Linked DNA regions of Mus musculus. The protein of the gene in region 3 purifies or fractionates together with the protein of the main gene of each other region. This does not show direct contact. Links are inferred from orthologs where the notes say so. Each region holds a gene or a part of one and is shown on either strand. Other genes may lie near its edges.

Region 1 (3,500 bases), on a different chromosome or scaffold from region 3:
ACAGCTATTATGCCCAGAGCTTTAAGTAAAGAAGGAAGTAAATAAGAATATCATAAACATCTTTACTGCCTAAAGTAAACAACCAACTGAAAAACCCTTCAGGGACTAGTGGTCTCTCGATGGGTTGCATAATCAGGCTACTTTTCTATCCCGGAAAACACGCCTGTCAGGAAGGACATGCTCTAACGTACTGCAAATAAAATGTTGCCAGCGCTGCACCCGGAAAGAAAGTGTGAAGAGCATCATTAACTTCTAATAGGTCAGAGTCTAAAACCATTCAAAGAAAATTTAAACGTGTTAAAAGTACGAATATCCTACTTCTCAACTAGGGTAAGAAAGCCGATCTAAATCACTTAAGGTATTTGAAATATTTAGGTATGAAGCTGGGGTATGGCTCGGCAGTAGGACACTTACTGAGTGTTCGGCAGTAAAACCCAGATTATCCGCATTTGTAAAAACTTTCGCAAGAGATTCTAATGCACATACCACATACCCAGTTGAGGACCACTGCGCAAACAATGAACATTCCTTAGCCAGAAAACTATGGGAAACTATGCCAGGTGTAGTGGCAGACAACTTTGTTTGGCACTGGGCTCAGGGCTCTGTCATTCTCAGCTACATTGTGAACTCCAGGCCAGCCTAGGCTACATGACCCCTCCCCCTAAAAGAGAAGCTACAGGTAGGCTAAGAAAGCTCAGGCCTTGGTTTTCTCACTGAAATGAGGTGGCTAGTCGGGACAGAAGTTGACTTAGTGTCAGGAATGGAGCCCCACACTTAGCAGGCACAAGGCTCGAAACCTCAAGCACTTCTGGAAAAGTAAAACTCTTACAGGTAGGAGAGGGACTCAGCAAGCTGATGTCTTCCTTCTCATTCCCGATGGCTCAAGGGAGCACACAAGATGGCTTCTGAGACCAGCTGCAGCTTACAAATTCCTTGACCTTCCACAAGGAGAAGTTCACAATTTAAGTGGCAGAGGACTTAAGTGTTTGTATCCCCTTACAAACTTCCTAGGAGGAAATGTCCCTTTTCTCACAGTACCTTCTTCTCTTGCTCCCTGCAGTTCCATTTGCCATCACATGGGGAAAGCAGCTCGGAGGGGCAGCAACTGCTCTTTATGCCTCATCCCTCCCTGGGCACTACCAAAACCATCGTACTAAGCTTCCATTTCGAAGACAAGTGTCAGCTGGGCAGTGCTGGTACACAACTTTCATCCCAGCACTCAGGAGTCGGAAGCAGGTGGATCTGAGTTCAAAGGCAGCCTGGTCTACAAAGTGAGTTCTAGGACAGCCAAGGCTTCACAGACAAACCCTGTCTTGAAAAAAAAAGAGAGAGAGGGAGAGAAGGATAAGGGGGGAAGAAAGAATAGGAAGAAGAGAAGGAAGAAGGAAAAAGAGGAGGAAAAAGAGGAAGAGGAGGAGGTGGTGGCAGTGGTGGTGACAACTGGGGAAGACTAGTGTCATTATCGATAATCCTCACCTACCTTACCACTAATATCTTTCTCTGACTTTCTGAAAAGGCTTTAAACTCAGAGAGGCAGCTGAGATTCAAAAAGACAAATAGGGGACAGAAAAGATGGCTCTGGAGTTAAGAGCCAGGTCCCATTCTAGCACCTAGGAACTCCTAGGTTGGCCTACAATCTCCTTCAACTCCAGTTCCAGGGAAGCCGCTACTTCAGTCTTATAAAGAGTCCAGGGCAGGGTGCCAAGGGGACCATATCTGGGGCAGTTTTTGTCATCTTTAAAGAAAAGGGAGCTCTGAAGGGCTTCTTGGGCCTAGGAGCTCATATTTACTGCCAACTTTCCTGGCCAGCTCTTGACAATCAAATCAAATTTCCACTCTTGTTTTAATCATCTAAAACATCCCTGGTTTTCACTAAGCCTGGATGACAATTATCTCCCATTATTCTTCAGTGTACACGACCTATAATTGTGTTTATCTGCTCTGGAACCTTGCAAAGAAATGTAAGCAACACAACAAAAGGAACCACTGATAACAAACTGACACCCTAAAATTAAGATCACAAGGTCTTGAGATATCTGGAGAAGATAAACAGCAGCTGAGTATCCTCCTCATAAAGAATGCAGAGGAGATGGGTGTGGTGGCGCATGCCTGTAATCTCAGCACTTGGGAGATGCTAGTGGGAGGACCAGAGAAGCCTCAGCAGCAGGATGAGTTTGAGGCCAGCCTAGGGCTGAGATTCCCATCTCAAAAAAAAAAAATGTGTGGCAGCATTGAGTTTGCGGAAAGGCCTCGCCATGCTGCTGGTGGACAGATCTATAGCTACGGCATGACCCTCGTAAGAAGGTTCTGCAGTTTTCTTCTGGCACTGGGTGTCTCCCAGGACCTTGAGCACTCAACAAGTACTTTACCACTCAGGTATGTCCTCAGCCCCTTTCAGCTCCACCCTTACCAGCCCCCTAAACCTAATACCCACTCCATGAGTCACCAGGAGATGGGGCTCAATACACAAACCAAAACCCTGAAGAATTAGGAACCACTGAGAAGATCAAGAACATCAAACCCTAACTTAAAACGTTATTTCTGACAGCTGGCAGTACCCAAAACAACCACTACAAACAGAAAGGCTGAAAAACACAACTGTGGAGATCTTTCAGCAGGCACAAGTGTTCGACAGAGTGTTTCATCATAACCCACCACGGCCCACTTGTTCCCATGAATAAACACTCTACACTTATCCTACCTACTTACCCTTTCAACTGCCAGCCGCCAACACTCTTACCTAAAACATAATGCACACAGAGAGCCACCTGTGGAGGCTGGGTAGACAGCTCGGCAGTTAGGAACACTTGCTGCTCTTTCAGAGGACCAGAGCTGGGCTGCCACCACCCACATCAGGTGACTGTAACTCCAGCCCCAGGGAGATCTAAGGCCTTCTAACCTCCACTGGCAGCCATACATGGATACCAGAAACCATACACAGAAATGAAAACAACTCTTTTAAAGGCACAGCACATCAGCTCCTTCTCCCAGGCCACTCTCCAACTAGTCCCTCCATACCTCTTTGCTTCTTCCAGATGACAAAGGTATTCATAAGCCACGTTCTGCCGTCTCCGCTCATCCATCTCCTCTGCAGTGAGCCTCTCATTATCCAGGACGGCTAAAACAGAAAGGAAAGAGTGTAAACACCAAGCTCTGTAACTTTCCTCAGCAATAAATGAAGGCCACCACCATCAAATTGCTGCTAGTCACCTAGAAAGGCAGGCTAACTAGTGGATATATGGGTAGCCAGGGGCACTACAAATGATTTTCCTAAAAACAAACCATATGGTTTCAACTACATTCATCTTACCATATATACACACATATATATATATATACACACACATACACATTATTATATATTATATATTATATATTATATATTATATTATATATTATATATTATATATTATATATTATATATTATATATTATATATTATATGTGGGGGGTGGTAAGGGGTCATAGAGACATGTCAGCAGTTAAGAGCACTTGTTGACC
Region 2 (3,938 bases), on a different chromosome or scaffold from region 3:
AAAAAAGCAAAAGCAAAAGCAAACCAAAACAAACAAAAAACCCAAACCCATGAAAGACTTGGAGTTAAAGTAGGCTCAAGTAGGTCTTGCATCTCTTGAAAGCAAGTGAACTCTGGTTTGACTTAAAGATGATGCTGTACTACCGATGTCGAGAATACTTACTTAATGTGTAAGGGCGTTTTGATTTCATGTTTGTGTGTGCGCCCCATGTGTGCTCGGTGCCCATGGAGGTCAGCGGAGGGCATCAGATCCCCTGGAACTGGAGTTACAGATGGTTCTGGGCTGCCATGTGGGTGCTGGGAATCGAGCCGTCAGTGCTCCTAACAACCCTAAAATACCTTTAACGTCTTATTACATTTTATTTGTGTGTGTGTATTACATTTTATTTATTTATTTGTGTGTGTGTGTGTGTGTAGCGGGGTGGGGAACAGCATGTGGACTGAGGACAACTTTCAAAGGCGGTTCTCTCCACCGCATGGACCCTTTACTTGTTGAGCCATCTCGAGGGCACGCAGAAAAGATTCTTTTAGAAAAAATAATTCTTGGCTGCGTTTGCCCGCACTCGTGTAGTAGGGTCTTTCAAGGACGAAGACATAGGTGAAGATATGTTTGATATCACCGGTGCAGTTTTCCTTCAAGTACCTGTAACTTCCCTCTCAAGAGAAAAGCCCCGGATTTGGGATTCCGGGACCTTCTTACAAAATGATTGACTGCAGCACTCTCAGATCGCCTTGCTTTCCTTCCCCTAGAGTGGGGGCATTGGAGCAGCCGCCTCCGTCGGAGGAGAGACCCCAGCGCGGGCAGGAGGCGGGCGGGCCACAGACCCAGGCTCCCGGGCCGCGAACCCGGAGCGCCGAGGCGCCGCTCGGTCGGCCCGGTACGCGACCCGAGCCCGCCTCCCGGAGGCTCCGGAGGCTCCGGCTCGCGGGGACGAGCGCCGAGGGGCGGGCGATGCGCGGCCTGGGCCGGAGACCCCGCCCCCCCACCCCGCCCCCCGCCCCGCCCTCGCCCGTCTCCTCCTTTCCCCCCCGGGCTCCGCTGAGTTCATTCACTGGGATTGGTTTCAAGTGACGCCATCTCTTTATTTTTAAACCGATGACCTCATCCGCGCTTGAAGTTTCCTGACCAGCGACTCTTTCTCTCTCCCCAACCCCCACACTACCCCCCCTGGTCCCCTCCTGCGGGCATCACCGTTTGGGGGGGCTCTCATCCCGTTTCCAACCATTTACCCTCCCCCTCTCGCTTTTCCCGCGCGGACCCCCAACTTTACCTCAACTTCTTCATCCCTGTCGACATTTTTTTTTCCCTCTTTCGGGGGGCGGTGGAAGAGAAAGTGAAGAAAAGTTGCAAACGCCCGGGCTCTCGCTAAGCTCTCCGCCCACCCTTCAGAGGAGAAGCCCCGGCGGCGAGGAGGACGCGCGAGCGACGGCTGGGCGACGCGGTGACAACGCTCGCTCCCCTCCGCGAGCCTGGAGCCGGCGGCCCCTCAAGTAAGTGTTCGCGGCGGGCCGCGGGCCGGCTGGGAGGCGCGTCCGCTCCTCGTGCCGGCCGCCGCGCGCTCTCCCCGGCCGGGGGCCGGCGGGCCACGGCGGCCCGGAGCGGCGACGGCGGCGGCGGGGGGTGTGTAGGCCGCGCTGGGGGTCGGCCCGAGCCGCGGGGGCGCCCCGGCCTCGCCGCGCCGAGCGGGCGAGCGGGCGAGCGGGCGAACGAGCCCCGGGCCGCGGGTCGCCGGCACCTGGGCGGGCGAAGCTGCTCACTTCCAGACTGTTACACAACACGCCTGCCAAGTGGGGCCCTGACTGTTTCCATAATCCCAAATTCACCTTGTGTGTGTGCAGGCAGCCAGCGAGGCCACCTGGGGAGCGACCGTGTCGCTTCCTTAAACAAGGAAAAAAAAAAAAAAACCCACCCCCAAAACTCAACTTTCATTCCGGGGCTCCCGTCACGGTGTTGGAGGAAAACGGTCCGCCGGTGACTCCTTTATTTACAGTAGCTGTAAAATGTGAGACATGAAAACGGGGAAACAACGGACGGTGTGTGTGTGTGTGTGTGTGTGTGTACGGTGTAGTTTCACGTGGAAAAAAAAAAACCCTAAGGAGGACATACATGCAAACTCTTTAAGAGCGACGGGTTGTTTCCTACAGAAAGCTGATAATACACTTGGGGAAAGTACAAGGAGATCTTAAAATGAATGGCTTGTGCAAAATTGGAAAGAACTTTTCTTAAACGCCTGTTGCAAAGATCCTTGGTGTTTTGAAGTCCTGTGTGTCTCAGATTGTTTGGAGAACGCACACCTCTAATCAGCCCATGATTAGAGAGGAAAAACCTGTTGCATAATCTCATTTGCTGTGGGGTTGGCTGTGCCGTCCCCTGAACCAAGGGGAAGTGAGTTAGGATGAGGGTTTTTAAACCTCTGAGGTTTTTATTTACACAGTGCGCTGGGTGCCACTTTGCTTTTAAAGATTGTAAGTAAATACTCTGCTCTTACAAGCGAATCAAACCTATCGAACCTGCTGGGAAAATGACCAGGTATGTGTTCTCTCCTGCTCACGTTATCTCTCTCTCTCTGAAATAGATTCTCAGGGGGAATAAGCCTCTTTGGCCACTCTGTGGAGCTTGATAGTACATACAGTTAACAACTACTTCCTCAAAAAGCCTACACTTTTTCATCTCCCTTAAAGAAAAGACCTTTAAAGGTAAATTTCAGAAGAAGGGGAAAAAAGCTTAACAATTGAGACAATTCAAATATTAGCGAGCACACTGTGGGAGGCTGTAATTCAGATTTATAGAATTCTCTATTGGGTGAAGACCAGTCGCTTGGAGAAGTAAATTGAAAACTGAAGTGTCTGTGGCTTTGTGTATTCTAGTCAAAATGTGACCAGGCACTGCAAAAGGGTTTTGTCTTTATGTAAAAAATAAAACTGTGGAACTTATTGTGTTTAAAGACATTGTGGAATGTTGATATTTTCATAACATTTACCATCTTATGGACAAATTCAGAACTTCAGCTTGAATTATTAGTTTTAAGGTGTAAGATTTTGTGTTTATCAGAGTTCCAAATGGGGAGAAAATTCGAAGTAAGTTTATTTTGCATTTTAGTAAGTGGTGAATAAGCTGATGTTTAGAAAGTATAAACTGTTGATAATGATAGTTACAATTTTTTGTTTTATTTTACTCTCTGGTATCTTAGCAACTCAAGTGAAATACTTATCCTAGAATTGTGCTGATTTTCCTTCAGTGTTTCAGATGGTGAGTTTCAGTAGACAGGGCCAGGAACAGAAGTACACAGTTACCACTCCCTCCCCACCCCTCACTCTGTTCAGTTTGGAAGTTCTTGTCTCATAGTTCAGCTTGGTGAATGTAGTTGAGTACCTATAAATTTAAAATGTTAATACGAAATTGGGGGTTCCTGGTCTATTTGAACAGAGGTTTAATTATAGGAATTGAGAAAGGGGTCAAAGAGGAAGATCCTGGTAACTCAGTTCCCCTCTCTCCTGCTTTCTTACACATTGAAGATTTATTTGTAGAGTGGAAAAGAGGAGGCAGAGGTCAGCTGGTTTAAGAGTCTGGCTGGGGTTAGGTGAGGACCTAGGTGTAAACTATGTTCCCTCCCACATAGAGAAAGAGTAGGTCTGAGAAGTTTGAAGGAAGCTTGGCTCGAGTTAGAGAAGAACAGGAACAATGTTGGAGTGTTAAAATAGCTTTTTTTTTTTTCTTCTCTAACTGCCTGAATTAGGAAATTGAATTTCATAGAATTTTCATTATCTGGACTTAATATATTAAACAAACAAGTTTATATACATGTTCATTGTTAAGCCTTTTCTATTTTCACCCAACCATAAAGTCCTGTAAAATATAACTTGATATCATTTACCAGTGTAATTTATCCTAGAGTCTTATGTGTTCCTGGTATTTCTAACAAAGACATTTTTCTGTTG
Region 3 (3,500 bases):
CAAATAGGACAGGACTCAGCGGGCGTGTCAGCAGAGGGACCCACAGTCTGTTTAGTACATAAGCAAATGTGAGAACCAGATACCTCTGAATACAGGTGGCCGTGTACACTCACCAAGGATTTTCAGGAATAGACTAAACTCATTAATAAAGGGACTTGCTGCAAAAATATGACAGGTGAGTTCTAAGCTTGTTTTCTCAACCCCAAAGCCTTTTCTTGGCAAGGTGAGCAACTCAACAAGAGGACAGACCTCAAAAGCCACGCTGGAACTGCAAAGAACTGAGTCTTCCCCACCAATGAGTTAGGGAAGCACACATCTACCACAGCACACACATGAGAAACAGGGCCAAAACGTGTTAAAGGATACGGTCTGTACCAGGAAACAACGTTCTTCCGGTCAACAGCTCAGCCATGATGCAGCCCACGGACCAAATATCCACTGGAACAGTAAAGAGGATACAAGCACCGACATGGTTTCTATTCATATTCATGGACACAAATGACTCTAACTATGAGTGAGAGATTCAAGTCAGGATTTAAGACACCCAAGGTTTGACAATCTTTTTTATATAGAAACAAACTTATTAAAATTGTCACTCAAGAAAAGACTCCACAGGTCGTGCAACTCAGAATATAATTAAGATAAAAGAAATAAGCAACTCACAAAGGGGCAAAACTTTGTTACTGGTAAATGGTGAATCCTCCCAGGAAACATAGGTGTTAGGATTAAGAGACCACTCCCCTCAGGTAGTGTCACAGAAAGAATGACACGGAAGACGTAAGAAGTAAGGCCCCAGCTGCTAAGTCACCTGAAAGCCATGTTAGGGAGCACCCCTTCCCCATCTGGGGAGGCGACTGAAGCAGTCAGTACCTGTCTGGTTATAGTGCATCCAATTCAGCATGATCTCTGGGGCTCGGTACCACCTGGTAGCCACGTAGCCTGTCATCTCATCATCAGTGTGCCGAGCCAGCCCAAAATCCAGAATCTAAGGGCAAGAGCAGAAGTCAGGCATGGGAGCAGCAAGTTCTGCTACCTCACAACCAGGAAAGCAGAAAAGTCACTTTCAGAAAGAGGGCACCCCAGTTTTCACTTAGAATGCATGACATGATAAAACACTCCAAGAAACTTTAAAAATAAAGCTTCAAGCAAAGCAACCCCCCCCCCCATTTACTCAAGGATAAAAACATATGCCCACACGGGTGTGCACAGGAATGTTCACAATAGGTTTATATTCCGAACCACAAGTGCTCACTAATAGGACAGCAGCGTACAAACTTTGGTGTGCTTATGAAAAGGAAACTGCTGAACAACTGGGAATGCTGGAGCACACAATACAGATGAGCACACAATTCAGTAATGTGCATGACCCTCGACAGTTCCATTTATACGAAACAAGATTAATCCAGAGTCAGAATTGGGTCAGTGGCTGCCTGCATTGAATGAAGGGTGAGAGTCATGGGTCACTAGGAGGGGACACTCAAACCTTTTGAAACTATGGAGGTTACTATGTCATCACTGTGGTTACATGGACATTACAACTCTACTGTAGTCTCTCCTCCCCCAGCCTGAAACCTGCTTGCTCAGGGGTGGAGCTTCCCGCTCATCTGTTCTGTCACGCCCACTGCTAGAACCTGCGGAGCCACACACGTGCACCTTTTTACTGGACCAGAGATTATTTGGCGGAAATCGGGTCCCCTCCCCCTTCTTTTATAACTAGTGTCCCAACAATAAAATTTGAGCTTTGATCAGAATGAATTTATCTTGGCTCCGTTTCTTCTTTCGCCCCGTCTAGATTCCTCTCTTACAGCTCGAGTAGCCTTCTCAGTCGAACCGTTCATGTTGCGAGCTGCTGGCGGCCGCAACACTCTACAAAGAAGTACATTTCTTTTCCTTTTCCATTTCATGTACATGGGTGTTTTGCCTGCATGGATATCTGTGCACCAAGTCTGTGCAGTGTCCACAGAGACGAAGAGTGGGCATCAGATGCTCTAGATGCAGATGGCTGTGAGCAGCCATGTAGCTGCTGGGAAATGAGCCATCTCTCTAGCCCCCTGCAGACATTTCAAAAAATTCATTGCTGGGCAGTGGTGGCGCACGCCTTTAATCCCAGCACTTGGGAGGCAGAGGCAGGTGGATTTCTGAGGCCAGCCTGGTCTACAGAGTGAGTTCTAGGACAGTCAGGGATACACAGAGAACTGCTGCCTTGAAAAACCCAAATCCAAAATAAATAAATAAATAAATAAATAAATAAATAAATAAATAAATAAATAAATAAATAAAATCATAAAAAAGCATAGTGCTACTTCCTTTTTTTCTTTTTCTTTTTTATTAGATATTTTCTTCATTTACATTTCAAATGCTATCCCGAAAGTTCCCTATATCCTCCCCCTGCCCTGCTCCACAACCCACCCACTCCCGCTTCCTGGCCCTGGCATTCCCCTGTACTGGGGCATAGAATCTTCGAAAGACCAGGGGCCTCTCCTCCCACTGATGGCTGACTAGGCCATCCTCTGCTACATATGCAGCTAGCGACACAAGCTCTGGGGGGTACTGGTTAGTACATATTGTTGTTCCTCTTATAGGGTTGCTGACCTCTTTAGCTCCTTGGGCAGCTACTTACTTTTTTTTTTTTTTTTTGTATGCTGCTTTATTGTATGCTACAGCCAGTGTATATAAAATAGTTAAACCTTGTGAGACAGAAACCCATGGAATTCAGAGAGGTAGATGTTAAGGACTGACGAGCAGAAGATAGTGTATTATGGCACGTGTTAAAGAGAAGCTTTTGTACAGACTTCAAACTTAGCTCTCTTGAATAGTCACTGGTTCATGAAAAGTGGTTTGAGAAACCTCAAGATAGATGACTACAAAAAGGAGCAGACTTTCTGGGGTCTGAAGGGATTTGTACTTGAAGACCCTCCAGTCAGCAGAGGGTCATGTTGAGCATTCTGCAGACAGAACTGCTTCAAGCCTGCAGCTGCCAGGGAAACCTTCACGCGGTTCAGCCCGGCCTCCAGCCGGAGCTGCTGAACCACCTTCTTCATGGCGGCAACGCTAGAAGAACCCAACATGGCGCTCGGGACAGCAGGGCTGACTCGTCAGTCTGGGCAGGGGGCAGCCTCTACTTACTTTTTAAAGACTTAATTTTAATTTACTTAGGTTTTATTTAGATCATTCTGAGATCTGCAATTTTTCCTTTTAGGAACCTATCTAATTATCAGTGTTCCAGGAAGGCTTAACTGACATTTAGACTATAATATCCCTTTATTACAATTAATGTGTTGCATTTCTAATTTAATTATCTTTTAAAAATGAAAACAAGATACCGACATCTACTTCCAAAGTTACTTAAACAGCTTGTTCAGCCTAGTTCAAGTCTCACAGTCTGATATTCCTAAGGACAAATGACTTTTTAGATAGCAAGTCGTGGCTTAAGTGTGGTTGGTCACGATTCTGGGGAACACTTAAGAGAAGCAAACAGTCCATCTCTTCTTTCTTACCTT
Region 4 (4,114 bases), on a different chromosome or scaffold from region 3:
CATCCATGGCCTCATGCCACCACTAACTTGTCCACAACATAATCAAGCCCCAGTCAGCTCTTGCCAACACTTGGCGTTCTCATTTTGAGAACATTCTACTAATGTAGTGACTGGGAAGTATTTCCCTATTTTTTTGAATTGGCTTTCCTTCCATGCCTGAGCTTCAACCTTTCCCCATATATTCTTACCCCATCACATTCCTTCCTTTGGGCAGAGTATGCAGTCCTTGAGTTCCTTACCCATTTATCTACGGGGTCTTAACCCTTTGATTATTTTGTGCGAGCTTTATCTTATCTGTTGTGTGTTTTCCTTTAAAACTGTTATTTGCTTTTCTTGGGCTTTTAGCAGAGAAAGGACACATGGCCAGATGGGGCTTTTTTAGAAGCCTCCCCTGCCTCTCCTTTCATTGTCAGCACTTATCACCCCGATATCTGGTCCAGTGCCTTTGCTTATTGTTAGTGTGTCCTGCTGGACTAGAACACCCAGGCAAGGAGAGCCCTTGTGTGTCTTTCCTGTTCATCACCTGTCCAGTGGGCTGGCTGGAGGCCACCAGCCTTAGTGGACTGAATGGTGCTCTGGAATGGGGCAGGGTGGAGACACGCTGAAGTTTCAAAAACTGGGACAGTGACTTGTATAGTCATGACCACTAGAAAAGCCAGAAGGAGAATGGGGATGGGGACATATTGCAGTAAAACGACTTCTTTCCACGTGGATCCATCCAGGGGCTTATGGGAAAGAGGCTTTGGGGAGGCGCCCCTCTTCACCTGATAAGAGCACAGTGTCTCAGTTTAGAGTTGGGTGCTCGGAATTCTTGTGTACCTTTAGCTAGGCCTGTACAAATGAAGCCCAGATGGAAATAGCACACCCAGGAGCTGCCTTGTGCCTTCAGTTTTTTAGTGGCATCTCACAGTAAAATACATTAGAAGGCTCTGATTGGCCCATTATACAGATGGGGGCCATCTAGTTCCAGGTAGTTCAGCATTATTGAGTTGTTTGAGACAGTTTCTGGTTCTGGGGCTCTGGGCTTTTGTCCCCACCCCTCTTCCTGCTTCCAGGGACCAGACTGGCGCCAAGCAGGGGCAACTGCAACATGTCCCCTGCTGGGCCCCCGACCTGCCCTTGGCCTCTGCCCTGACCCTGTCCCGCCTGGGTGGAAGCCCTAGCTCAGCCTGCGGCTTGCAACTCCCACCAGGCTTTTCCTTAGCCCTGGTTGGCTCTCCTGCTCCCTGAGCCCGCCCCACCGCCCCGCCCCGTCCCGCCCCTTTGAGCTGCTACTTAGTCGGTCCGAAGGCAGAGCCTTCCAAGGTGGAATCTGGATTCTGCTGCCAGGAAGCGGCCGGCGCACGAGTGGCGCGAGGCTTGGCTTCCACGTGCGAGCCTGCTCCACCACCCCGCCCTCTCCGAGCGCCCAAGCCTGGGGGATCCGTCTCCATGAACGATACCTACGCCCTGCCGTGGCACTAGCTGTGGCCAGGACGTCCGGGTGCAGTCGCCTGCCTCTGGATCTCGCTCCAGGTCTCTCCTTTTGTTCTCTCCTGGGGTGGGTAGGAGTGGGGCCGAGTCAGCTCTTACGGGACTCGCCGAGGCCCACAACCTCGGTGACCCTCTTGTTCTCTGGGTCTTCCGGGCTTTAGAGGAGAGCCGGGCCTTGAACCCAACTTCTCCACACATCCAAAATTGAACTTGGGGAGTGATGGAGATCAGAGCAAATGAGAAAGTCAGAAAAGGGGTGTGGAGGGAACTGGTTTTAGTCCTCCTAGCACTTCAGAGACCGGTAGACGCCCAGCTATCTTCTGGGGTATGTCTCACGAAAACTCCATGTAAGCGGGGCAGGGAGCAGCGCCCAAGTGGCGGCAGCCTCGGGTCTTTTTCCAGGGGCGCCTTCCTTGGTGTTCTCACTGTGGGTGGAGCGCGAGGAGAGAAGCAGGCGGTAGAGGAATGTCCCTGCGGGGACACTGAAAGCCTGCCCTCAGGACAGGGGTTGACTTCCCGCCTCAGTAGCCTGATCCACGCTGCAGGAGTAGAGACAAACTTGCCCTCACTCCGCGCCTTGCCTCTCTCCACAGCACCCACTGCCCGACGTGCAGGACGCTGCGCGACCATGGAGAGTCTGAGTCGGTCATGCCTGTGGCTGCGTCAGGAGCTGTCGTCCCCGCGCCCACAGCTTCTGCTGCTGGACTGCCGCAGCCGGGAGCTGTATGAGTCGGCGCGCATCTGCGGGGCGCTGAGCGTGGCCCTGCCCTCGCTGATGCTGCGCCGCCTGCGGAGGGGGAGCATGTCGGTGCGGTCGCTCTTGCCTGGGCCACCACTGCAGCCTCCCCCACCGGCCCCTGTGCTCCTGTACGACCAGGGTAGCAGTGGCCAGTGCCATCGTGAAGCAGCGGAGGCTGAAGCGAAGGCCGAACCTAAGGCTGAAGCGGAGGCCGAACCTAAGGCTGAAGCGGAGGCCGAACCTAAGGCTGAAGCGGAGAACGAAGCGGAGGCTAAAGCGGAGGCCAAAGCGGAGGCCAAAGCGGAGGCTAAAGCGGAGGCCAAAGCGGAGGCCAAAGCGGAGGCCAAAGCGGAGGCTAAAGCGGAGGCCAAAGCGGAGGCCAAAGAAGAGTGGGATGCTGACTCGGTGCTGGGCGTCCTGCTCCAGAAGCTGCGGGAAGAAGGCTACCCAGCATACTACCTACAGGGTAAGTGAGGGTCAGTGGCCTGAGAGAGCACTCTGGAGAGGCCTCAGGTCAGGAGAAAAGATCCTTCTTTCCAAGGGGATTTCATAATTACTTTATCCTTCAGCAAACTCAATCTTATTTTGTCTAAAATATAGGGTAAGCGCCTCCCTCCTGATAACCTGCCCAACAGCTTTTGGGGAGGCAGAGCTGACCGTGACCTTGGGCAAGTCCTTCATCCCTCCAAGCCCATTTATAAGTCTGGATAATGGGGAGAATTGACCTGAAACAACCTGGTTCACAGGATAATGCCCCAAGACTAAGGGCTGCATTGGGCACTTATCAGCCAAAGAAACAGTCACTAATGCTGAGTGAGGGTGGATGGCTGTCTATAGCACAGCACATGTGGTTTAAACAAATCTGCTGGCTTATGCGTTCCCTTTGGCAATATCTGCAACCCCCACCCCGGAGAGCTGTGTGGTGTCAGCTCCCTAGCCCCAGCTAGGGATACTTGGCTGCCCAGAGGCTATATTAACTAGTAAGACCTCGCCCTTCTTTCCTGACAGGTGGCTTCAGCAAGTTCCAGGCCGAGTGTCCTCACCTGTGTGAAACCAGCTTCAGTGGTCGTGCCGGCTCAGGCCTGGGCTCAATGTCTAGCCCAGTGCCTGTGGTGGGGCTAGGTGGCCTGTGCTTGAGCTCTGATTTCTCTGATGCAGAGTCTGAGGCTGACCGTGACACCTTGAGCTGTGGCCTAGATTCTGAGAACACCACATCCCCTCCAGCTGGGCTGCTACCACCCTTCCCAGTCCAGATCCTGCCCAATCTCTACCTAGGCAGTGCTCGAGATTCAGCCAATTTGGAGAGCCTGGCCAAGCTTGGCATCCGCTATATCCTCAATGTCACCCCCAACCTTCCTAACCTCTTTGAGAAGAATGGTGACTTCCACTACAAGCAGATCCCCATCTCTGACCATTGGAGCCAGAATCTGTCCCAGTTCTTTCCGGAGGCCATTGCATTCATTGGTAAGTCCTCCCTACTTTGTCCCCCTGTCCCTCCCCCTCCACAATCTCCACCCACCAGACTGATTCTTGGCCTCTCGTCCTCCTGACTCCATTCCCAGAGCCCACGTGACACTTGGGGAGGTGGGGGTAGAGCTCAGGTCAACTGCCAGTGAGAGAGATCCTTCAGATATGGTCTCGGCAGGGTAGGGAGGCAGTGATGGTGATCCCAGAAATTCGTATAGCTTTGGTCTCACTCATAGTGACCCTTAGGGGGTGTTTCTGTTCTGTCCTGTTTTACCTAGATGAGGCCTTGTCGCAGAACTGTGGGGTGCTCGTCCACTGTCTGGCAGGGGTCAGCCGCTCTGTCACTGTCACCGTGGCCTACCTCATGCAGAAGCTTCACCTCTCACTCAACGATGCCTACGACTTGGTCAAGCGGAAGAAGTCTAACATCTCACC
Region 5 (4,269 bases), on a different chromosome or scaffold from region 3:
AGAGGCATCCCAGTAGCTAACAAAGGCAGGCAGGGGGCAGGGGCACTGGGCTTCCCTTACAGCTGTTCTTCTTGCTCTCTGTGTTCCACATCTGCTCTGATGTCAGCCCTTAGTACCCGGAGGCTCCTGGCCTCACCTGCCCTGGGGACTCTCCTGGGCAGGGTTGGCAACCTGGGAGTGTGCCAGAAGACTCTCCTGCGCATGCGAAACCATGAGAAGCGTCCTGGGGTCTGGAACCTCACTGTCTTTACCTGTTTCTGGGCCCTAGATCCCGAACCAGCTGAGGCTTCCTGTATACCCTGAGGTCCTGCCTCCTCCCTCTGGTCATGGAGGACCCCTGCCCTTTGGTCAGCTAGGACCTCCACCCTCTGATTTTCTGTAGCACCAGTTCTTTGGTTAGCTGGGCCCTCTGCCCTCTGACTATCTATGGCTTCTGCCCTCTGGTCAGGTGGGACTCCTGCCCTGAGATAAGCTGCAGCCTCTACCCTCAGATTAGCTTCAGCCTCTGCCTTTGGACTAGCTGCAGCCTCTGCCCTTGGACTAGCTTCAGCCTCTGCCCTTGGACTAGCTGCAGCCTCTGCCCTTGGACTAGCTGCAACCTCTGCTCTTGGATCAGCTGCAGCCTCTGCCCTTGGACTAGCTGCAGCCTCTGCTCTTGGATCAGCTGCAGTCTCTGCCCTTGGACTATCTACAAGCTCTGCCTTCTGGTTAGCAGCAGCCTCTGCTATTGGACTAGCTGCAGCCTCTACTCTTGGATCAGCTACAGCCTCTGCCCTTGGACTAGCTGCAGCCTCTGCTCTTGGATCAGCTGCAGTCTCTGCCCTTGGACTATCTACAAGCTCTGCCTTCTGGTTAGCAGCAGCCTCTGCTATTGGACTAGCTGCAGCCTCTGCTCTTGGATCAGCTGCAGCCTCTGCCCTTGGACTAGCTGCAGCCTCTGCCCTGGGACTAGCAACAGCCTCTGCCCTGAGACTAGCTGCAGCCTCAGTCCTTGGACTAGCTGCAGCCTCTGCCCTTGGACTAGCTGCAGCCTCTGCTCTTGGATCAGCTACAGCCTCTGCCCTTGGACTAGCTGCAGCCTCTGCTCTTGGACTAGCAACAGCCTCTACTCTTGGATCAGCTGCAGTCTCTGCCCTTGGACTAGCTGCAGCCTCTGCCCTTGGACTAGCTAGAGGCTCTGCCCTCTGGTTAGCTGCAGCCTCTGCCCCCTGGTTCTCTGCAGCCTCTGGGTGCTCCTCAGCTGGCATGCCTGTTCCCTGAGCGAAGGGTGGCACCTGCTCCTTCCTGCATCGTCTCAGGGAAACCCACTTGATCTTGGGCTTCCAGCGTCTAGTACCCAGCATCTGGTCACTCCGGTCTCCTGTGTTTCTGGAGCTATCATCGTCCGAGCTGGCTTGGCTGTGTCTCATTTCTCCAGCCCTCTCAGCTGCTGTGGAGGCCTGCTGGGTCTGGCCCACCTCGGAGCCTGATCTGGGTGCCCAGCCCTTCACCCTCTGTTTCAGCTTCCCCCAGGACACCTGGCTAACATACTCCCTCCATCTGTCGGCCTTGGATGGCTGGGGCCCCAGGTTGTTCTCAAACATGGGCACTGGAAGATTGACTCGGCGTCGTGGAGGAGGCGCGCTGGGCTTCTCCCCACGGCGGAGGAAGGCCTCCACCAGCTCCTGATCATCCTCACTCTCCACATCGCTGCCCAGGAATTTGCTGCCCAAGTAACTGACCGGCATTTTGCGCACCTTCCTGGTCCTCCCGGAGGAGCTCCTGTTGCCTTTGACTTTGGAGGTATCGAAGTCACTCAACTCACTGTCGCTGCCATTGCTGCTGTCATAGGTACCTACAACCAGCCGAAGTGGAGGAGTGACCATCTGCGGGACTCTCCTCACTCTCAGCTCCTTGGTTCTTTTGCGGGGTTGGGGTGGGTGTGGAGTGCTCTTTTCGATGATACGGGCCACATCTTCCAGGGTGCGGCCCTCCTCCTGCAAAAACTGGATTAGCCGCTCCCGAAACTCAGCTTCCTTCGTTGCAGGCTTGGAGATGACTCTCCACACGCCCCCAGCCAGGCGGACCTCCCGGGGGATGAGCAGATAGTCAACATCCTCCCCAATCTGCAGCATCCCCACCGTGGAGTCCTCTTCTTTGCGGAACACCTTTCCGATTTTCTTAAAGGTGCCCACAGGCCTTAAGGCCTCCACTAACACGTCCAGATCGACATCTTTGCAGACGTCGGGGACACTCCAGAGGATCAGGCAATCGGGAGACGGAAGGAAGCCCCAGGGGAACCATCCCCCTACGTGGCTTTTTTCGAGAGTCTTTAAGATCTCCAGCGTGGACGCTCGAGTGGGGGCAAAAAGCCCAGACACTTGGCTGCTAGTCTTGGGGAGGGGGCGGTGGACAGTCCTAGCAACTCTGCTCGCACAGAGTGTCTCCTCCCTACAATTTTCTCTTCAGGAAACAAGTCCAAGTTGGCTTCCCCAACCCCCTCGGAGTTGTAGCAAGCAGTTTTCCAGGATGCTTACATGAACTGAAGCACGCTCATTCCCGAGGCTCAAAGTTCAGTCCAAACTGGAATCGCCAGTGTCCCGGCTCCAAGTTGGGGTCCCACGAGCTCCGATCGCTTCTCCCTTGCCCCAGACACCAGGATATAGCTGAAAGTTCTTGGGAGGACTCTGCAGACAAAGACGGCTCAGCGTGGCCTTTCAATATGGCGAGGTGCTTAAAGGCCTCCGCCCAGCCCCGAGGAGGGTCTCCCGCCCCCAGGCAGTCTGCCACCCGCTCCAAACTGACCTTGCGCTCAGTCTGTGGTGGAGCTGAGAGCCGCAGGAAGTTTCTGGGCGCCCTCCCCTCCTGGGTGAGGCCCACCTTCTCCTTCTCATCTTACACTCTAAGCCTGGGAAGACTGGCAGCGGGGCTGTCCACTCCCCTTCAGGGCAGCCTCCCTCTCCTCCCCCACAGAGGTGTGGCTGCCCCCCAGAGCCTCAATGGGGCCAGGGCTTCCCTTAGCTGCAGCCAAAACCCACGTCATCATCCTTCCCAAAAGGCAACGGGTCCCCCAACCTGCCATCCTAGACGTGCAAGCCCAAAAGGTGCGAGTGCTGATGGCTCAAATCCTTTGAAGGCTATTGCAATTATGAACGTGCGTTTAAAATTAAGGGGATGGGACTAGAGGTGGCTCAATGGTTAGGAGCATGGGCTACCTTTATGTAAGACCTGGGTTTGACTCCCAGAACCAATACGATGGCTCAAAACCCTGTTTATTTCCAGTTCCAGGGGATCCAATACCCTCTTCTGATCTCTGTGAGCACTGCATATACGTGGTACACACACACACACACACACACACACACACACACACACACACACACACACAGAGAGAGAGAGAGAGAAGACATTCATGCACACAAAAAGGGGCACACAAGATAACCCAATGGGTAAAAACATTTCCCCAAAGCCTGAATTCAATCCCAGAACCCACATAAAACCAATTCTACAAAGTTATTGTTCAATCTCCACATGTGCACCCCTATACACAGATTGTACATATATTAATTCACACACGATAAACACGGGTTTTGTTTGTTTGTTTGTTTGTTTGTTTGTTTTTCGAGACAGGGTTTCTCTGTGTAGCCTTGGCTGTCCTAGAACTCACTTTGTAGACCAGGCTGGCCTCGAACTCAGAGATCCACCTGCCTCTGCCTCCCAAGTGCTGGGATTAAAGGCGTGCGCCACCATGCCCAGCCCGATAAACACGTTTTTAAAGTAAAATATTTTCTTGGAGTTGGAGAAATGGCTCCATGGTTAAAAGCACAGGCTGCTCTTTCAGAGGACCTGGGTTCAATTCCCAGCACCCACATAATGCTCATAAATGTCTGTAACCCCACCTCTAGGGGATTTAACACCCCCCCCCCACTGATATACATCAAAACACCAAAGCACATAAAATAAATATATTTTTTAAATAAAAAATTTTCTTAAAAATAAAAAAACCTTTAAGATCACAGAGATGTTGTACCCTCAGTTCTTAGTTTATGTATCCCACGTGGCCTCAAACTTTCAGGGATCCTCCTGCCTCAGCCTCTGTCTACTAGGCTTTACGTAGGCCACTATTATCAGGCTTAAGCAACAACAACAACGGCCAGGTAAGGAAGTGACTTTAATATCAATATAAGAACATATATCAGGCATGGGATGCACACTTGTGATCGCAGTAATTGAAGGCAGGGGGATGAGGAGGGTAAGGTCACTCGCAACTTCAGAGAGCTCACACCAGCC
Region 6 (4,199 bases), on a different chromosome or scaffold from region 3:
CGAGACACCACCAGGTCTCAGCCTCCTCCCACTGGCCAGCTGACCTTTGACCGTCACATTGGCCACAGTGCGCACTCGGCCCCGCATCTCGCACAGATAGACGCCATCATCATCGGCCTTCAGCTTGTGGATGACGAGGCGTCTCACAGCGCCCTCCTCGATCTGCTCGTACTTGCGGCAGGGTAACAGCCGTTGGTCCTCCCGGAACCAGGCGGTGGGAATTCGAGAGTTAGGTACTTTACACTCCAGCACCACAATCCCGTGTTCCCGACCCTCCACATCCTGCAGGGGCCGGGTGAACCGTAGGCGGGGTTCTGTAGAAAGAGAAGGAGAGAAGGCTCAGGAGCAGGAGCAGGAGCGAGAGACTAGCTGAGGAGGATAACACATACTTGCTCTTCCTAGCAGGCTAGGAATGGCGGCCGAATTCCCAGCTAAGTTAGTTGGCCTAATTCCCAGCCTGACCCCGATATCACCTTGGACACGTCTTATAACATTTCTGGGTCTCAATCTGCTCATGTGTTAAATGGGGGAGGGGAGGCGGCAAACATTCAACCAGATCAGTGGTTTTCAAACCGTCCCTAACACTACACAGCATCTCCCAATTCTTCAAGGATCTGCATTGAATTTCATTTTAATATAGCATTCTAAGCATTTCAAAACCATATTTCGGAACTTGGAAACCACCAGAGAGTTAACTTGCTGAGGAAAACAAGGTTTGGCCCCACTGGGAGAAGTTTCTTTACTTTCTTGAGGACATTGCAGTTTCTCACTGGCCTGGCAAGTCTGAGCAGGACGCAGTGAGGACACTGTCACAGCTCGGATACCACACACTTGGTTAAGTGTCAGGCAGGACTCAAGGGAACTTCCCAAGCATGTTTTCCTTGAAGGAACAAGTTGGGCAATCACCAGTGAAAATGTAACCCCTCAAATCGTGGTGGTCAAGTCCTATTAAGGGGAGCCTTAGCTTCCAATGTGACTCGAGAGTGCCTTGTTTTCTCTGGATTTTCTGTTCATGGGTACTGAAAACGTGTAAGGTCACCTCTCCCCCCCATCTCTTTTGCTTTCATCTTCTTTGAAACTTAAAAGAATCCAGACTGGCTGGTGTTTTTCCTCTGACACATCCACCTCTCCTGTGAATGAGCAGTGGCTGCTGGGAGGTTTGCACCAGCCTTCCTAACAGATTCCGGGCCCCCGAAGCTGTGAACACAGCCTCCACTCCAAATGTGTGTTTTCAATACAGCAGCCCCCTTTTTCTCACCGATTAGCATATTATAAATTTAGCCCTAGTTATTTACTCCCACAACATGCTCCTATTATTTTACAGATATTGCTACCAATGGGAATCCAGTTGGGAAAGAAGGCCTAAAAGAAAGAATAAAGGATAAGAATGTTCTAGGATTGTTAAGATTTACACAGTCTATTCCTTGGCTTAGTGGTTTTTACCACCTGGGTAGCTGGCTAAGAAATTCATCAGTGTACTGGAATTCAATATTCCTCCGGACATGGGGGTGGACATGAGCAAGAAGGACCTCTGGGGGCACTGGAAGCACGGTGCTCTACCTTTCACGTGCAGCTGGACCGCGCTTAGGGTCTGGCCCGCCGAGTTGCGCGCCGCGCACACGTAGAGCCCACGGTCCTTGGCCTGGCAGTAGAGCACCTTAAGTACAAAGCCGCCGTCGCGGTCGCGGTACATGAGGCGGCGGCGATCGGGGAGCAGAGGGCGGCCCTCCAAGTGCCATTCGATCTCGGGCTCAGGTTTGCCCATCACGTAGCAGCGGAATTTGGCGTGCTTGCCCTCGTTCACCCAGAAGGTCTTGGGCGCGCCTTTGAGCGGCTCCAACACGGGTTTGGGGTTCTCATCGGGATCCTGGGGCGGGCTCTCGCGGGGCTGGTGCACCTGGAGCAGCGCGCCCGCCTGCGCGTGGCCGTGCGCGTTGCGGGCGTGACACACGTACACCCCGGAATCGGGCAGCCGTGCCGCCAGGATGCGCAACGTCAGGCTCGCGCCCTCGTCACTCGCGCCGCGGCCGGGCTCCAGCTTGAAGTGGCTGCTGTCCCATACTTCGTCCAAGGCCATCCCATCCTTCTCCCAGTACAGCTTGGGCTCCGGAAGGCCTCCCACCTGGCACGTCAGCACCACCTCCTCCCCTCGCAGCACCCACTGGGACTGGGGCCCCGTCAGGAACTTCGGGGCGCCCTCCCCGGTGCCCGGTGTTGGCAGCGGACACTCGGAGGACTCGGGCTCCGGCTCGGGGGCCGGGGGTTCCAGCACGGTGACGGCGGCCGCCGCGTAGGCCTCTCCGGCCGCGTTGCGGGCGCGGCACACGTAGACCCCGGCGTCGGTGGGCAGCGCGCCGCTCAGCAGCAGGCCGTGCTCGGCGCCGTCCTCCGGAAAGCTTAGGCGCTCGGAGGCCACCAGCTGCTGCCCGCCTTTCTCCCACACGACAGTGGGCGGCGGCTCTCCCAGGACCACGCATTTGAGCTCGGCCTCCGCTCCACTTACCACCCGCACGGGCCGCGGGAAGCGTAGGAAACACGGGGGGCTCCCCTGATCCCCTGATCCGGCCTTCATTGCGGCCGCTGCAGATGGCTCGCCTGGGCGCGCGGGAAGGCCGGGAGCCGAGACCAGGGCGTGGCGGAGCGGGCGCCGGGACCGGTGGGACTCCTGTGACCGCTCGCCTCTTTACCCTGGACCCTGGCCGCAGCCCTGCTACGCGGCAATTCCCGGGCCGGGAGCCCAGAGCTCAGGGGGCTGTCCTTCCTGTTTGCCTGCTCAGCGAGGGGCCCTACAGCCTAGACTGCCCGCGGCCGGGCTTCCTGCTCTTGGGAGTCTCTCTTTCCAGCCCCCTCCCACAGCCTGGGCCTCTTTCTCCTCCCTCCCTCCCACCTCCGGCCTCCAGGTCTCCAACTGCGGGCCTGGCTTGGGCTTGAGTGACTTTGTCGCCTGCAGCTGCCAATCCCAAAAATATTCTCTGATGACACAGCTGGAGGACAAGAGCTCAGACTGGCTCCTCCAGGCTAAGTATAGAGCAGGCGGGACCACCTGCCCTCGGCCCAGAGCCTCAACCCTAGGTCTACCCTCCCACGTTGGCCTAGCAGCTGCTAGGATTGAAAAGAGCGCCAGAAAGTCTGAGGGGGGTGGTGCATTCTGTCCTTCTGACAAATGATTTGATGACTGGTCAACCTTAAGCACCCAGGCACCTGTGGTACCTGATGTAGATTCTATGTGTGTGTGTGTGTGTGTGTGTGTGTGTGTGTGTGTGTGTGTGTGTGTGTATTTGAGGAGTGGGTTGTATGCTTGCCTGAATGGGTCAGGTCACTTGGGGTGAATACCCATCACAGCCCCTTCCCCCACATTCTTGGCGGGAGTGGGAGATAAGGCTCAGGGCCACAGACATCTGCGTCAGAGATAGGAGGTCTCAATGCCATGGGCAGGGGCGACTGGGACTGTGGGGCGTGGGAAGGACTGGGGGAGACTGGGGTGAGAAGGGTAGAAGAAGGCCAGCAGTGGGATGGGGAGGGGACAGTGGGGAGGTCCTAGACAGAAAGGGCACAGGGCAGCGTGTGGGTTCCCTGTCATCAGGGCAAGTGAACTATGGTGAGCCAGCGGTCTCTGCTGCTCCTTTTGCTGTTGACCCTACGGGATGTGGACAGCTGCCAGGGACCCGAACTTGTCCGGGAGCTCGTCCTGGCCAAGGTGAAGGCTCTATTCCTAGATGCCTTGGGGCCCCCAGCAATGGATGGGGAAGGTGGGGATCCTGGAATAAGGCGTCTGCCTCGAAGACATGCCGTTGGGGGTTTCATGCACAGGACCTCTGAACCAGAGGAGGAAGATGTCTCCCAGGCTATCCTTTTCCCAGCTACAGGTAATGAAGTTGGGGATTGGCAGGTCAACTTTGAAGAGTAGCCGGTACCTACTTCATGGGCTTGGGAATCAGGCAGCTCTGGGTATGAATGGCAGCCCCACAACTCAGCTGGCTTTGCGGCAAGGGGCCAGTTCCTAAGCCCCTCTGATCGACATCAAACAGGTGGTAGCCTCTACCTCAACATCAGATAGGTGGTAGCCTCTACTTCTCAAGCGGGACTGATCCAGTGAGCCTAGCATGCCTGGAATACAAAAGGGGAAGCTAAGGCTCTGTAGAGACAGCTTCTGTTGCTGCCTGTGGTCTGTCCTGCGTTTTGTGCCCCCTACTCTCCCC

Evidence for each region.
Region 1: the proteins of Mapk14 (region 3) and Iqgap1 purify together in Homo sapiens (affinity purification with mass spectrometry; 3 studies listed by BioGRID and IntAct, counting the BioPlex papers as one, with this or other methods). This does not show direct contact. The link is inferred for Mus musculus from reciprocal best matches to the Homo sapiens genes MAPK14 and IQGAP1.
Region 2: the proteins of Mapk14 (region 3) and Dusp16 purify together in Homo sapiens (affinity purification with mass spectrometry; 7 studies listed by BioGRID and IntAct, counting the BioPlex papers as one, with this or other methods). This does not show direct contact. The link is inferred for Mus musculus from reciprocal best matches to the Homo sapiens genes MAPK14 and DUSP16.
Region 4: the proteins of Mapk14 (region 3) and Dusp9 purify together in Homo sapiens (affinity purification with mass spectrometry; 8 studies listed by BioGRID and IntAct, counting the BioPlex papers as one, with this or other methods). This does not show direct contact. The link is inferred for Mus musculus from reciprocal best matches to the Homo sapiens genes MAPK14 and DUSP9.
Region 5: the proteins of Mapk14 (region 3) and Ccdc8 purify together in Homo sapiens (affinity purification with mass spectrometry; 3 studies listed by BioGRID and IntAct, counting the BioPlex papers as one, with this or other methods). This does not show direct contact. The link is inferred for Mus musculus from reciprocal best matches to the Homo sapiens genes MAPK14 and CCDC8.
Region 6: the proteins of Mapk14 (region 3) and Obsl1 purify together in Homo sapiens (affinity purification with mass spectrometry; 6 studies listed by BioGRID and IntAct, counting the BioPlex papers as one, with this or other methods). This does not show direct contact. The link is inferred for Mus musculus from reciprocal best matches to the Homo sapiens genes MAPK14 and OBSL1.

Annotation. Positions count from the first base shown.
Region 1 is NC_000073.6:80,796,832-80,800,331, forward strand, and holds part of Iqgap1 (ras GTPase-activating-like protein IQGAP1), read right to left. Parts: intron 3,119-3,500; coding exon 3,019-3,118; intron 1-3,018. UniProt on the Homo sapiens protein: Plays a crucial role in regulating the dynamics and assembly of the actin cytoskeleton.
Region 2 is NC_000072.6:134,789,829-134,793,766, reverse strand, and holds the start of Dusp16 (dual specificity protein phosphatase 16), read left to right. Parts: upstream 1-1,138; 5' UTR 1,139-1,490; intron 1,491-1,954; exon of another isoform or gene 1,955-2,529; intron 2,530-3,938. UniProt on the Homo sapiens protein: Dual specificity protein phosphatase involved in the inactivation of MAP kinases. Dephosphorylates MAPK10 bound to ARRB2.
Region 3 is NC_000083.6:28,725,842-28,729,341, reverse strand, and holds part of Mapk14 (mitogen-activated protein kinase 14), read right to left. Parts: coding exon 3,498-3,500; intron 3,117-3,497; exon of another isoform or gene 2,638-3,116; intron 986-2,637; coding exon 871-985; intron 439-870; coding exon 367-438; intron 1-366. UniProt on the Homo sapiens protein: Serine/threonine kinase which acts as an essential component of the MAP kinase signal transduction pathway.
Region 4 is NC_000086.7:73,638,127-73,642,240, forward strand, and holds the start of Dusp9 (dual specificity protein phosphatase 9), read left to right. Parts: upstream 1-1,314; 5' UTR 1,315-1,515; intron 1,516-2,066; 5' UTR 2,067-2,101; coding exon 2,102-2,678; intron 2,679-3,220; coding exon 3,221-3,676; intron 3,677-3,957; coding exon 3,958-4,114. UniProt on the Homo sapiens protein: Inactivates MAP kinases. Has a specificity for the ERK family.
Region 5 is NC_000073.6:16,992,433-16,996,701, reverse strand, and holds the start of Ccdc8 (coiled-coil domain-containing protein 8 homolog), read right to left. Parts: upstream 2,801-4,269; 5' UTR 2,115-2,800; coding exon 57-2,114; 3' UTR 1-56. UniProt on the Homo sapiens protein: Core component of the 3M complex, a complex required to regulate microtubule dynamics and genome integrity. It is unclear how the 3M complex regulates microtubules, it could act by controlling the level of a microtubule stabilizer.
Region 6 is NC_000067.6:75,503,653-75,507,851, forward strand, and holds the start of Obsl1 (obscurin-like protein 1), read right to left. Parts: upstream 2,801-4,199; 5' UTR 2,573-2,800; coding exon 1,561-2,572; intron 315-1,560; coding exon 45-314; intron 1-44. Other genes in the region: Inha (inhibin alpha chain isoform 1 preproprotein), read left to right, coding at 3,596-3,866. UniProt on the Homo sapiens protein: Core component of the 3M complex, a complex required to regulate microtubule dynamics and genome integrity. It is unclear how the 3M complex regulates microtubules, it could act by controlling the level of a microtubule stabilizer.